2 linked regions of the Neodiprion lecontei genome follow. The protein of the gene in region 1 purifies or fractionates together with the protein of each later gene. This does not show direct contact. Links are inferred from orthologs where the notes say so. Each region holds a gene or a part of one and is shown in the gene's direction. Other genes may lie near its edges.

Region 1 (6,947 bases):
TGAAAGATACGTGTGTATATATTACCTAAATTTAACGGTCAATTCTTCTTCCCACTTCTCGGACTGGAGAGTGTGATAAGCTGTACCCTACGCGGAGTTTTAGCTGCTATCACATTAGGAACTATTGGTTTTGGAGGTGTTTTTTTAACAATGTCACTTATATTTTCTGTGTTACTTTCTTCTGTGTAAACAAGTTTTATATCTTCCGTCTCTTCAAGAACTACGTCATCAACATCTGTCGACTTTGTATTTTGGACGTTTTTCACAAGTTTATCATCTTTATTACCATTATTCGCCTCTTCGCTAAAGTCAGATGCTTTCACAGGTTTCGTAATGTCAATATCCATTGCGTCACTGCACATATCAATAATGAATTCAGTCTTCTCGGCATTATTAGTCTTACGCTTTGATTTGGATGAATTTGAATGCACAGATTTCGTTTCTGTCGTGTCATTTATGTTTACCAAACTAGATTCATACACATTTCCCAATTCTCCGTCTTGGAAATGAATTATTGAACAATAACCGTCTGTTGACGAAACGACTAAAAGACGTCCGTCGGACGACCTGAAATACACACAAATAGAATTTAAATGCAATAATGTCGTATTGCTGTGCATTGTGAAACGCAGCATTTCATTTAACTCACCACGCAATGTCTGTCAATCTGGTATAATGAATGTTCGAAATTATTGCAATTGGAGAAACTTGTTGAGTGTCATATATGAGGACGGAACTTTTTGTAGCAACTGCAAATACTATTCTATAAGGAATTCCTATCATCGATACCGGGCCATCTTCTCTCAACTTAAAGTAAATAGGACAACAACGTACAGCTACTGTAAATTGTTCCAAAGACGGCAACACTACTATAGGCCTGAAAAATTAAAAGATATCGCGTTTAGACATGTCTGTTAGTAGAAAAGCGATGTTTCCAAATTCTGCATACAAAAATCCGATAATAAATGTAATGTAATCGTACATACTCCTTAATATTATGCCTGGAGAAGATAATTGTTGCATTGGACAACTTTTCAGAAGATTCTTGAGGTTCAATAATGCCAGATGGCGCAATAATCAATAAGCCATCGGGTGAAAACGTAAGTCTTCTGAAGAAGGATTGAAAAGTGTCATCATAAAACAAGCGTACAGTTTTGTCTTTCAGTGGGTGATTGGCTGGCGTGGGGATCTTGGCCTTACTGACGCGCTGAACAGTTTTTTTTGTGTTTATATCAAATAACCGGCATTGCCTGTGGACAAAGAAATTTGTGAGCCCAATTTGCACGGGAGAAAGATCATTTTTTGTCGAAAACTATATGCTCTACTACCTGTCTGTACTTAATGTGCACACGTATTGATTTGACGGATCCCATGAAACTCCTTGAACAAATCCTTTATGATCTGATAATATACCCATGCTTCGCCCTTTTTCAACATCCCACAGAATGGCAGTATTATCAACAGAGCCGGAGACTAAAAAATTGGAATCAGGGGACCAGCTCAAATCGTAAACATCCTCGACGTGGCCTCGAAGGATCTTCCATAAATTCCATTGTTCTTTATTCTGATTTGTATCATCCCCTGCAAGTGGGGGTGGTTCAAATTCGCCCCTTTCTTTCCATAACATTATCGCAGACTCTGAAAGAATGAATTAAAAAAATTAAGGATTAAATAATTCAGAGTTAAAAACTGTATTACTCCATTTTCCTTGCTCACCGTCATCACCAGATGCAAGGATTTCACCCGAAGGAGAAAATCTTACAACATTAACTGCCTTCTGATGGCGACTCAAGTCCCCAACAAACTCCACAACCGTTGCTCCCACTTCATTTACTGTGAGATGCCAAATCTAGATTAAATATTGCAAATTAATTGAATAATATTTATTTGGTCACAATATTCAGGTTGAAAAAATCGAATATCTTTTAAAACTAATTTAGGCTTTTCATTCAGGTCAATTACCCAGAATTCGCGATGGTAAAAATTGAAACTCTTTACTTACCAGAACATGAGAATCCGCACCACCAGTAGCCAAACGCCAAAATATTTTACCGTCCGAAGTCTTATTTACACCGGGTTTTAGGTCAATACTCAGAACAGGATCGCGATTATGCCAGGATATTTCAGGAATCGTACACTTCATTATGTTTAATTAGAAGAACATGTATGAGAAAACGATAATTTTAACTGCGCCGTGTTTCGTCTATCCCGATTTTTATTAAAATTAAATCCACACTTCAATCGGTGATTATTATTTTCTACACATAACCTGATTTTGTACTGCACGAAGAATTTCGCGCGAAACGCTCCAACGTAGTCTGTGGTTCAGAGAACAATGAAGAAAATCGGTGCATGTGGGAGTTTCAACTCTGTAGAGACAATTAGTTCCTAAAAGTCACGATAGAGGTCGATCAATTAAGAAATTGCAACCCTGACTGTTGGTAGCATTGGCTCTTGACGCCACCTTGACGCCATCAACTTCATTGAGAGCGAATTACACCTTTAATCAATTTGTAGCGAAAATTCATGCTAGCGAGAATTTTCGTGGCTTCTTACTTTATTTCGTTTGTAGTTAATTAAATTACAAACAAAATGCCACGTATAATGATAAAAGGTGGTGTTTGGCGCAACACCGAAGTAAGTAACAATTTTCTAACCTCGATTATGAATTTCAAATGCGCCGAACCTTGCGAGATAAAAGCCGCTGATAATACTCAAAATCAGCACTCTAAATTCTTCGGTTATAATTCAAAAATAATTATGCTTGATTTCTGGACAGATCATTGCATCAAAATTCACTGTACTATATATCTTACTTCATTTCATTTTACCTCATACCTGTATAATAGTTGAGTTGGAAACTTTTCGTCCGACATAATTATACACACGTAGCAATTTATATATATTTTCTAGGATGAAATTCTCAAAGCAGCGGTTATGAAATATGGAAAAAACCAATGGTCACGTATAGCCTCACTGCTTCACAGAAAGTCTGCTAAACAATGTAAAGCACGATGGTTCGAATGGTTGGATCCAAGTATAAAGAAAACAGAATGGAGTCGAGAGGAAGACGAGAAGCTTTTGCATTTGGCAAAGTTAATGCCAACACAATGGCGTACCATAGCTCCAATTATCGGACGTACCGCTGCCCAATGTTTAGAACGCTACGAATATTTGCTGTAAGTACGATTGAGTCATGTCTTAAAAGTCAGCAGTAATAGAGAATTAGCGCTAATCTTATCCTCCATTGAATACTATTTAATTTTCAGAGATCAAGCTCAAAAAAAAGAAGAAGGAGAAGATGCAGCTGATGATCCTCGCAAATTAAAACCAGGCGAAATTGATCCCAATCCAGAGACAAAACCTGCTCGCCCTGATCCAAAGGATATGGACGAAGATGGTAACTGTTGACATGTATTACGATTATAACTAATAAATTCATTACGTTCATTGATTCAGAAAATACTTGATAATAATCTCTAATTTTATCCAGAACTTGAAATGCTGTCGGAGGCCCGAGCTAGATTAGCAAATACTCAAGGTAAAAAGGCTAAGCGTAAGGCCAGGGAGAAGCAGTTAGAAGAAGCCAGACGATTGGCGGCGCTTCAGAAACGAAGAGAATTACGAGCTGCTGGAATTACAGTGTCTCAGAAACACAAACGCAAACGTGGCGTAAACTACAACACTGAAATACCATTTGAAAAACGGCCAGCACTTGGTTTTTATGATACATCAATAGAACATGTTGATCCCCTAGCAGCTGACTTTTCTAGAATGCGTCAACAACATTTAGATGGAGACCTGAGGCAAGAAAAGGAGGAGGTACAATATGTGGAATTCTATTTTGAATGAAGTCAACCAATAAGTGTTAAGAGCAACTTTTCTCATTCTATTTGGTCCAAATAATTGTATAATAATCGTAGATGGAGCGACGCAAGGACAAGCAAAAGCTCAAGCAAAGAAAAGAAAATGATATTCCAATGGGAATGCTAAACAATCAAGAACCAGTTAAAAAGAGGAGTAAACTGGTCTTGCCAGAGCCACAGATATCTGATCAAGAATTACAACAAGTTGTCAAGCTTGGTAGAGCTTCTGAGGTATCAAGTGTTGCATATGTTTTATTGAGTATTCAATCCATCCACAATTTTATTCTTGTTTTCAGTCAACATAAGCACATACAAATGATGTAGTATACTTTTTATTAGGTGGCTCGAGAAGTTGCAACAGAAAGTGGAGTGACACTATCCGACAGCTTATTGGCGGACTATTCTCTGACTCCAAGTGCAGCAGCAACTCCTCGCACACCAGCTGCTACGGACAGAATTCTCCAGGAGGCTCAAAATGTGATGGCTTTGACCCATGTTGACACACCTCTAAAAGGTGAACTTCGTTTTCATGAAATTACGTCTTTAGATTACAAATCTTGCAATAACGTTATTAAAAACTGTTACCACATGTTTTGTAAATCAACTTTGCAGGTGGTTTGAATACACCGCTACACAGTTCGGATTTCAGCAGTATTTTACCTGCTAATAATGTTGTGGCTACACCCAACACTGTATTGGCAACGCCATTCCGCTCACAACGCACTGACGGTACACCTACAAATTCGTTCAATACGCCAACATCTACACGAAGTCAAGCTGGAGCTCTGGTACCGACACCTGTTCGCGATAAACTGAGTATCAATCCAGAAGAAGGACTGGAAGGTTCAGAGACCCCTGCTCTTCACAAGCAGGTATTCTCAAATTATGAGAATAGTGAGCTGTACCCGAAAAGATCAGCAATTCATCAGCACATCAGCTGATTCCATAGTAGAATTACAGTTTTCATTTTTTTTTATTAGGTGAAAGAACAGCTACGTGCTGGATTAAGTACTTTACCCACACCTCGGAATGATTATGAAATAGTTGTTCCTGAAGGTGAAGGAGATGATGAAAAAGGAAACGAGTCTTCAGACAATATAATAGAAGATCAAGCTGACATTGATGCTAGACGTCAACAGGAAATAATTGAGCAGCGTAAGTTTCGTAATCCAGAAGTAACTATCAATTTGCTCAAAATTATATTTCATCCAAAAGTCATGAAAATTTGATTGATTATTGTTCAGAAAAAAGGGATCTTGCTCAAAGATCACAAGTGATCCAACGAGATATGCCCAGACCCGTAGACATCAATATGAACATCTTGCGACCGCTTATGGATAGTCCACTAACGGACTTGCAGAGGGTATTGAAACAGAAAATAGTCCAATAATCAAATGTAGCAGTAAATGTTGATTATGAAAATTCAAAATATTAAATATTCATTTCAGGCCGAAGAATTAATAAAGAGAGAAATGATCACAATGCTTCAGTACGACTCGCTGGAAAACCCAGTGACTACAATTACCAAACGAGGATCAAGTTCTTCAATTGTACAAGCTACCGCATTTCTGGAACAGCATCCCTACATAGACTACGATCCAGAAGAACTTGCGCAAGTAAGTGAAGTTACTATCTGACAAATACTACGTTCTGCCCTACAAAAAATAAAGTTGATTTTGGTATCGAGACTTTTTTATACTATGCTCCAATTTTAACTGAAGTATAACCTTTTCACAGGCTCGTAAACTTTTGGAGCAAGAAATGGCAGTTGTGCGGGAAGGAATGGCACATGGAGAACTAAGTTTAGATGCCTATTCTACTGTCTGGGAAGAATGTCTGTCACAGGTTTGTTTTTGTCGTCTTTTGTTACAGTTCATCACGCAAAGAATTATATGAACGTGATTAAAAAATTAAATCGATTATTTATTATAGATTCTATATCTGGAGAATCAGAAGCGATACACAAGAGCTACTTTAGCTTCAAAGAAAGATAGGGTCGAAGCATGTGAAAGAAAATTAGAAGAAAACCGTGTTCATATGACTGGGGAAGCAAAACGTGCAGCGAAAATGGAGAAGAAGCTCAAAATATTGACTGGAGGCTATCAGGTAAAGTAATATCTGTGGAATTGTATCGTGATGTCATGATTGAACGATTCTGAATTCAACAAAATTCAAATTATCAATATGCTCCTCTTTATGAATTTCTGCTAACATCTTTTCACAGACACGTGCACAAGGATTATCAAAACAAATACATGACTTATGGGAACAAATCGAACAGGCTCACCTCGAACTATCAACTTTCAAATTTCTCCAAGCACAAGAGGAAGCTGCAGTACCAAGGCGACTGAATGCACTCATGGAAGACGTCAATAGGCAAACTGAAAGAGAACGTATCTTGCAAAATAAATTTGCTGAGCTTCAAGATCAGTTGCAGCAGTTACAAGTGCAATAACGTTAACATAAGAGAGGTTAGATGAAATACTGAAGAAAAAAAAGTAAATATTAAATGAGGAATTGTTCACCTCGTTCCAAAATTAGCAACTTATGATAAAAGATTAATAAATGACTGCATAATTTATACATGATAATCATTCACGAATGTATTTGTGCTGATATTTCTGGTCTTAAATAACTTTAAGTAATAAACAGTCTACATTTTCAAAGATCACTGAGGTCTACAGCATCTACTTGTGCGGTTATGCTCTCCTCTTTCTCAGACTCTGACTGTAGGACAGGAGGTGTTTCTATCGTTTTGGTTGGATTTGCGGTTTCAAGCTTAGCCCAAGTCCCTGGTTCAGCTTTTTTCAATTTTATTTCTACTTTAGTCGGCAACATGTTTACGCTACTTTCTTCCACATTGACTACCTAAAATAGTGCAAAAATAATCCTTGAAATATAGTTGTCCAATCAAAATTTAGCTATTTGTTTGTTGTCAAAATTATTTACACTGAAATGAAATAATTCGACATTGAATTGTTATTAATTGTGAAACTTTACCCCTCTGAGTTCAACATCCAGCTCATATCTGGAATCTTCCTCTTGGAAGTACAGATCCACAGTCAATCGTACTGGATTTAA
Region 2 (7,313 bases), about 20 Mb from region 1:
TACTATGTTAGTAGAATAATTTTCATGTACAACAGATAGTTGTTTAAATTTAATCATATGGAATTGAGATTATGCGTATGAAATTTTGCTTTCTTATAACATGATAGGTGCACTGTGCAAAAAATATTATGTATTCATAAGAACTTACATAAGTTGGAGGTAGAATCTTTTACACGGAATGTGAAAAAATATATTATAAATGGTCAGTTGAAAAGTGGGTCTATCGATAGAACAATTATTGCATATAAAAATATAAAAACATCAAAGCTATGGTAACAATTATAACAATGGAATTCCATGTTAATGCTATCCGATATTCGAACACATGAAATTATATACTATGACTCTTTCAGAACATTAACTAAGAATAAAGGAGCTGAAAATTTATTAAATAATTTAAGATTTAGTTTTCATTTATTGAAAAAAGGGCCCAATAGTTCTTCTTGCAAGTTTAAATGCTGTTATTCTTCATTATTTACAAAAAATGGAATTAGTTAAATTTTCAACTAGTTGTATAAAAATACATTAATGGAGAGAGAATATTTTAATCGATAATTCAAAGATTCTACCTTTATTGATATGTAAATAATTTTAAAATAAAACAATTATATCTGCTGTAATGATATTTTATTCGGTGAGATAATTTGAAATGGTTCTTCATTGGATTCGAATTTCAGAACTGCATAAATCAAAACAAGTGAAACTGCTTCAAGCTGAACCCTATGGACATATTTACATCCAGGAGTATTCTATGTACTAAACAAATTTTAATGGCATCCTCTACCCTGCATCGTGCTCTGCAAGTTCTTGATCATAATCAATGACTATTTGTGAATGATTCATTCGTCATAAAATGGATATCTATGCAAATTATTGTCCACATTCAAAGGTATATCAATATAATTGATATTTGCTTTTAAATTTTCACTAATTATTTAAATTGACTTATTTATTTTTATTTAATATGAATTTGATAATTTGACAATATCAAATTAACTTGAACTGCAACTAATTCATTAATTGCAAATGGAATATCTGACCTATATAATTTCATTTAATATACTGTCTGTTCTTCAGATCAAGAATTAATTTTAACTGCCAGTAGGACATTCAAATACTTATGAGAAATGAATTAACTTTTTAGTTATTTATCTAAGAACGTATATTCGAACATACTTTTTATTTCTGTTGCATATAAGTAATTTTTGGTACAAACTGTGGCTGTGTTATAATCATAAACATAAGAGTGCTGAACTTGTATTTCTTAGTATTACATAACAACATATATGTAATTTGAAAGCACAGTAAAAATTTTTTAATAAATGTTTGAGTTTTATTTTCTGTTAGCCTCATTGATGCAACTATTCAAATAAAAGTCTAGGTTTATTACTTGACGTGCAAATCTAATGGCAGGAGACACGTCATTGAACAGGTATATTTCAAATCCTCATTCAACATTCATTGAGTGAAAAGCATACAATCCGATCATGACTGAGGTGTATGCCACCACGGTAATGACCTCCACACTTGCACCACCAACTAGCTTGTTGCCAGATAATTATCTGCGTTGATTTTGTGCTTTGTTTCAAAGTTGCGCAATCGAACATCGAACTATTAGACACGTTTATGTATAGCTATTCATAAACCTACACCACGTGTCAAAAATCAGAATTTCCTATAAAGTAGTCACATGATAATCGATTTGATGGAATCTTTTTAAATTGATGAATCAGTTACCTAATTTGATATTTAAAAATTGTGAAAATAAACACATACAAGGCATCTGAAATATTGATACTATGTTAGTAGTTATTGAAATTTAATCACGTGAAATTGAGGTTGCATATATAATTTTGATTTCTTATATAACAGGTGCATTATGCAAAAAATTATGTATTCGTAAGAACTCACAAAAGTTGGAAGTACAATATTTCATATGCAATGTTAAAAAAGTAGATTGTAAATGGTCAGTTTATAAGTGGGTCCATAGATGGAACAATTAAGCACACTGATCATAAAAGGGCCTCTCCTCGCAAAATTCGGTAAAAGTATTGTCCACAGGCAGAAAGCGGGATGAAAATAAAGGTGTCAAATAAAAACATAAGAAATACCATTAAGTAAACCTGTCAAAAGTCAATACTTTTGGCTAATATAATTTTTTAGCCTTTCTTTAAAACTCCTTCACGAGAGGATGGATTTCTCATAAACTATAAGACCTGACACAAGATATAAAAAAAATTTATAATCTACATGTATCCTATTGTTCTGGAAGCACGCAGGGGCTTTTTTTCAATCTAATTTTGTAGAAATGGTGCACGTTTGAAAAGAAATGAGTAGGTTTTTGGCCAATCAATAAGCAATAAATTGAAAAAAAAACAAAATTTACATTAAATAAAAAAACGGCGACGTAATTCCATATAGAATGTATTGTGAAGCGATTGTCAAAATTTCAAATCGATCCATACAACGGTGTTCAAGTAATCTGTCCTTCCACTTTGAAAAGTGGTTTCGAAAAAATTGCGTTTAAAGTTTTACGAGCACTCACGATCAGCGCGCGCTCCGATACACTGTGGCAAAAACGAGAATTGAAGCTTTTAACATTTTTTTTTCACTATAGGACCAACTGGATATTGTTTTCATGACCCCAAAGTATTGTTTAAGCCGAATATAAAAGAAATCGAAATTTCTAAAATCCGAGACTGGTGTTACTGCTTAAGAACGTGATAAACCGATGACAAATATTCTGATCAAAATGAATAATTCGGGGTAATATTTTCTCGTATCTATTTTCTCGGGTTTTGTTTTTACGAGAATTAATCCAGTCATTACACAACAAAGTATAGCGTCCGAACCCTATGAAACTGTCGAGTGTGTCTGATGCAGCGATCTGACTTCTTTAGGCGCAAGGACATATTCCCGAAATATTTGTCATGACACGGTTGACTCTTAATTAATGCATTGAACGATTTGAAAAATTCTGAAACGGCCAAACGACACATTTTGTCCATGTCAAAGCTGGCTGGTGAAGGCGACAACGAACTATATTATACACTTACCAAAGTGGAGAATCTTCCATTTTTTCTGAATCCATTTGTTTAGATTCTGAAGTTTCTTCTAATGATTCCCGTATACGTAATCTTACCGAACTCACAGAGCGGACATGAGCAGACCACTGAGCAGACTGATCGGCAGCCGTCCAAATCCGCGCTTGGTTCCAAATTAATTAAGTCTATGGTCCCAAACCGCGGCCAGAGAGAATAACTCAGGAAATAGCCGGTAGATCGCGCCGTCGTCGGCCAATAGACGCATTACGTGTACCATCTGGCAACACCGTGCGGCAGCAATGTAAGCAGGAAAAGTAAGCAGCATCGCCGCAGCCATTAGCCATGTTGTTAGATTGACTAGTATCGCAGAGTCAACTGTTGTTCGCGAATGTGTGCTGAAACGAAATAATCGTACATATTTTGTCGCTAAAAATATCATCGACTGGGTACGTTTCACTCCACCATCTAAAATTATATTTTCTAGTGACTCAACGTCATTATGCCGTTTCTTCTGCAACTTTAAAATACAGGTTTACTGTTCCCGAGCGTACACAACGCGCAGCAGGCCTTTCGCCCTCGTCCAATTTCAGGCTTAGCAGCGATTGTAACAACCGGCAGAGATGATGTACACGGTGAGATCTTGCGCGTATTTTTCATACAATATCACATCTTTACATTGTGTGTTATCTTCACTAACTGTTTTTGCATATGTATTTACAGGGGACCACGGCATCGCAGGATACGCGGTTCAGCGATAAGGAGAAGAAATTGTTGAAGCAGATGAAATTTGGTGATTCTCTAACCCAAAAGGTAGGGTTCTACTTAGCAATTGAACTTTCCAGATCCAACTAAAAATATATTAGTATTTCATAATGGGGTTTCATTCGAAGCCCCTCGTGAGTGACTCGCCACTTTCAGTCAATTTTCACAACTGAAATACTTTCCGTTAATATTTTAATGCTGCGGACGTGTCCTGAATTTTTAACCGATGTCCGGACAAGCATAGATCAGTTGAACTGCAGTCAAAGCTTTTATGAATTATTATATTCGGTTGCAATCCAAATCCAAAACATACACATGAAGTAAGAACCATGCTGTCAATGTCTGACGCGTTTAGAGTGTTGTGAAATATACATGAAACGCAACTCCCTTGCAGCACGCGGCACTTTTGTGATATTTTAACATATTCACATATTCACTCTTATCAATAGTCATGTGTCATCACATCTAATGAACCTTTATTCTATAATGACGATCTTACTGTCAAGCCAATACTTGTGTATTTTTTTCATCCGGTTTCTTAGGATTCATCTCTAACCTTTCTTTTAGTAAACGGACAGTAATTAGTTTCAATATTTCGTCTTTCAATACCATTGCATATCGGTAATGTATTTTGAATTAATGTCAACGAATCATGTGTAACGTCACTTGGTACGTAGTTTGCTAACACTGAAAACTTAGTGATTTTCTTGTCTCTACTTGAACAGGACATCAATAAATTATAGGGATGAAGTTGGTAACATTACTGTAACGATGCATGTTTAGGATAAATCATTACTTTGCACCTTTAGGAATGTCTGAAATGTAGTAAACTGTGATCAAGTAAACATACTCTTATTTTAAAAAGCCAACTCCTTCAAAGTTATTCTAAAATTGCGCAATAATGATTTTTTTCATACGTTAACGTTACTAACTTCAACCTTGTAATAAATTACGTTACTAAGTTCAACCTTGTACTTTATTAGCTGTGAGTAGGTTACTAGATCATTTTATTTCAATCAAAAGTGAATGATACGGTACGAGTATTGAAAAAAAATAATTTCAAATTACAGGTAGACATGAGCAAAGTAAAATTGGACGTTATTAAGCCCTGGATTACTACCAAAATAAATCAGATCCTTGGCATGGAAGATGATGTAGTGGTTGAGTTCGTCTACAACCAGCTGGAGGAAAAGGTAAGAACATTTAGAATATCCTTTTTGTTTTAAATCGTTACTTATTTTCTTTTTGATTTAAATGGATAGAATGGTCTAAATAATTGAATAAGCAGTTTGTATACTCGGCTTTTTCCCCTCAGCATAGAACATTTACTTTGACACACATTATCATAGATATAGTCCGGACAAAAAGATATGCGATCACACTCAGCTGCTCGTACCAATGAATTATGTGCACTTCATCTTGACAGTTACAAAAATGTCAAACCGATAATTGTAAGGTGTTTTTCATTAAGTTTTCAATAACTTCAACGAAGAAATTTGGCTCAGTAATTCTGTTGGGTGATAACTGAATTATGGTATGCAGTTTTCTCAATAATTCTGCTGTACACAATCATGGAGTTCGATAAAAATTGCAAGAAACGCTTGGCAATGGCGATGGCGATCACATGTCTAGAATGTTTCCTCAAAGAAATTTGTCCAATGATGTATTTCCACATCTCAAATATGAGTATCTCTGTTTCTGTTTCAAAACACCAGTCATTTAATTTTAAAAACATACTTATAACGCAGAAAAATAAATTCAGGGCTCAAAGAACAGTCTTTCTAGTAAATATTATACAAATACATTGGTTTTTTCTTCCAATTGAGCGTAGATTCAAAAAATAGTTGAAACAATCAGTCCACGTTATAAGATCTTTTGATAAATAGACATGAGGTTGATGTTTGGAATATTAATATAATAATACATTATTTTTTTTTTTCAAAATACGCTATTCTGTAACGTTGGGATTTTTTGAAATTCAGTACATCGTAAGGCAAAATTTTTCATACTTTGGAAACTAAACTTTTTCGAAGTCAATCTACAATTGCAACCTAGTAATCTTTTTTTCAATGTTTTGTTACAGTAATATCACTGACTTCAATCTTGTAAATTTACAGTAGTCTGTCTGATATGGCCCCTGACCAAGAGAATTACTGCGCAATAAAAAATAATAATTGTATTATCATTGATAAAAATCAGTTTAATGATTTGATTACTTTTGTTTTGATTTTTATTGTTCAAATCAACTAAAACACTCGAACTGTGAAAGCATAAATCCATATTTCGGGTAAAAGTCCCACATATCTTTGGAATGAATTCATCGTTTATGTAGCACCTGATTTGATATGAATGTTTCCAGTTCAAGAATTTTATCATGGATTACAGAAAACATTTTGGCAAATACTTTATGATTAAAGTTTCGAAGGGTTTAAGTTGTATGATTTTAGCAAATTTGGTTAGACTTGTTTTGTACTTTTTTGATGCATCGTCATTTTGTGTAACTTCAGAATTGTCCTGATCAAAATTGTCATTCATGTCTGAGAAACCTAGAATTGTCATATTATTGACAATAAGATGTAGTTTCGCACCTTCTAATAGCTTTAAATTCTTAAATTTGCTACTATTACAATGAATGAATCTTGGGATGCTAATTTGGTGTTGAAACACTCATAAACATCCTACTCATTGGTCAAACAATGCATTTCTTGCTCAGCAAGGAAAAAATGAAGCAGAACGTATTATTGCCTTTCTGAAGGACGTGAAATTTATTTATCGCAACATCATCATGTAACAGCCTTAATAATTAAATTTGGAAGTATCATTCCTTCTATGTAATGTAGTGATCTTAGCGGTAGATTTAACAAAACAAAGCAGACTTTGACATAAAAAAAAAAGTGAAGTGCGTAGGTGAAAATTGTTGAATTGCACTATATATGACAAGTCTTATCACGTCTCTTTGAATTCCCCATTATTATAAGTAGAAACCGTTGCGGGGGCTCAACCCTTTTGTCCCAATGGCATTCGGATGTGTTCCTCTCTGCATCCGATTGGCCGCCTTTCTATCAACCGTCAACCATAGCGTGATCCGTCTTCTACGTCGTACCACATCGCATCAGCAGCTAAGGACAGCTGCCGCAGTTGCCGATTCTTCACCATCTAGCAACCTCCGCCTTAGCGGAGTCACCATTCCCCGTCATCGTCACCCAGAGACCAGCTACGTTTTTCTACTGCAACATCTTGTCCGTGCGAACGAGTTCCTCATCATCCTGGAGAGCCTCAATCAAGGCTTTGCGTCATGTTGACGCGTGCACCACCTCTTCGTGGAAACCGAGTTGCCTCTTCCGAGGCAATTCAACTGACTGGCTGTCGACGCAGCAGAAAGGCCTTGGTGGCCTTGAACCATGGACCTTGGTTATCACCGGCAGTTTCCCTTCATTCCAAAGATGACAAACATCTGCAGGCCTTGGTCAGGGCTCACCGTTGACCAATGAGAGCGACCCAACATTG

The links.
Region 2: the proteins of cell division cycle 5-like protein (region 1) and serine/arginine repetitive matrix protein 1 purify together in Homo sapiens (affinity purification with mass spectrometry; 4 studies listed by BioGRID and IntAct, with this or other methods). This does not show direct contact. The link is inferred for Neodiprion lecontei from reciprocal best matches to the Homo sapiens genes CDC5L and SRRM1.

Annotation. Positions count from the first base shown.
Region 1 is NC_060260.1:4,639,511-4,646,457, forward strand, and holds cell division cycle 5-like protein, read left to right. Parts: upstream 1-2,474; 5' UTR 2,475-2,592; coding exon 2,593-2,637; intron 2,638-2,913; coding exon 2,914-3,179; intron 3,180-3,269; coding exon 3,270-3,400; intron 3,401-3,493; coding exon 3,494-3,822; intron 3,823-3,923; coding exon 3,924-4,097; intron 4,098-4,205; coding exon 4,206-4,380; intron 4,381-4,478; coding exon 4,479-4,738; intron 4,739-4,846; coding exon 4,847-5,021; intron 5,022-5,110; coding exon 5,111-5,229; intron 5,230-5,314; coding exon 5,315-5,482; intron 5,483-5,603; coding exon 5,604-5,711; intron 5,712-5,768; exon of another isoform or gene 5,769-5,798; coding exon 5,799-5,972; exon of another isoform or gene 5,973-6,090; coding exon 6,091-6,321; 3' UTR 6,322-6,447; downstream 6,448-6,947. Other genes in the region: chromatin assembly factor 1 subunit B, read right to left, coding at 39-567, 650-877, 987-1,250, 1,329-1,638, 1,717-1,849, 2,003-2,143; cysteine and histidine-rich domain-containing protein morgana, read right to left, coding at 6,528-6,734, 6,867-6,947.
Region 2 is NC_060260.1:24,701,340-24,708,652, reverse strand, and holds the start of serine/arginine repetitive matrix protein 1, read left to right. Parts: upstream 1-3,333; 5' UTR 3,334-3,490; intron 3,491-3,574; 5' UTR 3,575-3,664; coding exon 3,665-3,676; intron 3,677-3,764; coding exon 3,765-3,854; intron 3,855-4,876; coding exon 4,877-4,999; intron 5,000-6,784; exon of another isoform or gene 6,785-7,313. Other genes in the region: uncharacterized protein LOC124293066, read left to right, coding at 678-760. UniProt on the Homo sapiens protein: Part of pre- and post-splicing multiprotein mRNP complexes. As a component of the minor spliceosome, involved in the splicing of U12-type introns in pre-mRNAs. Involved in numerous pre-mRNA processing events.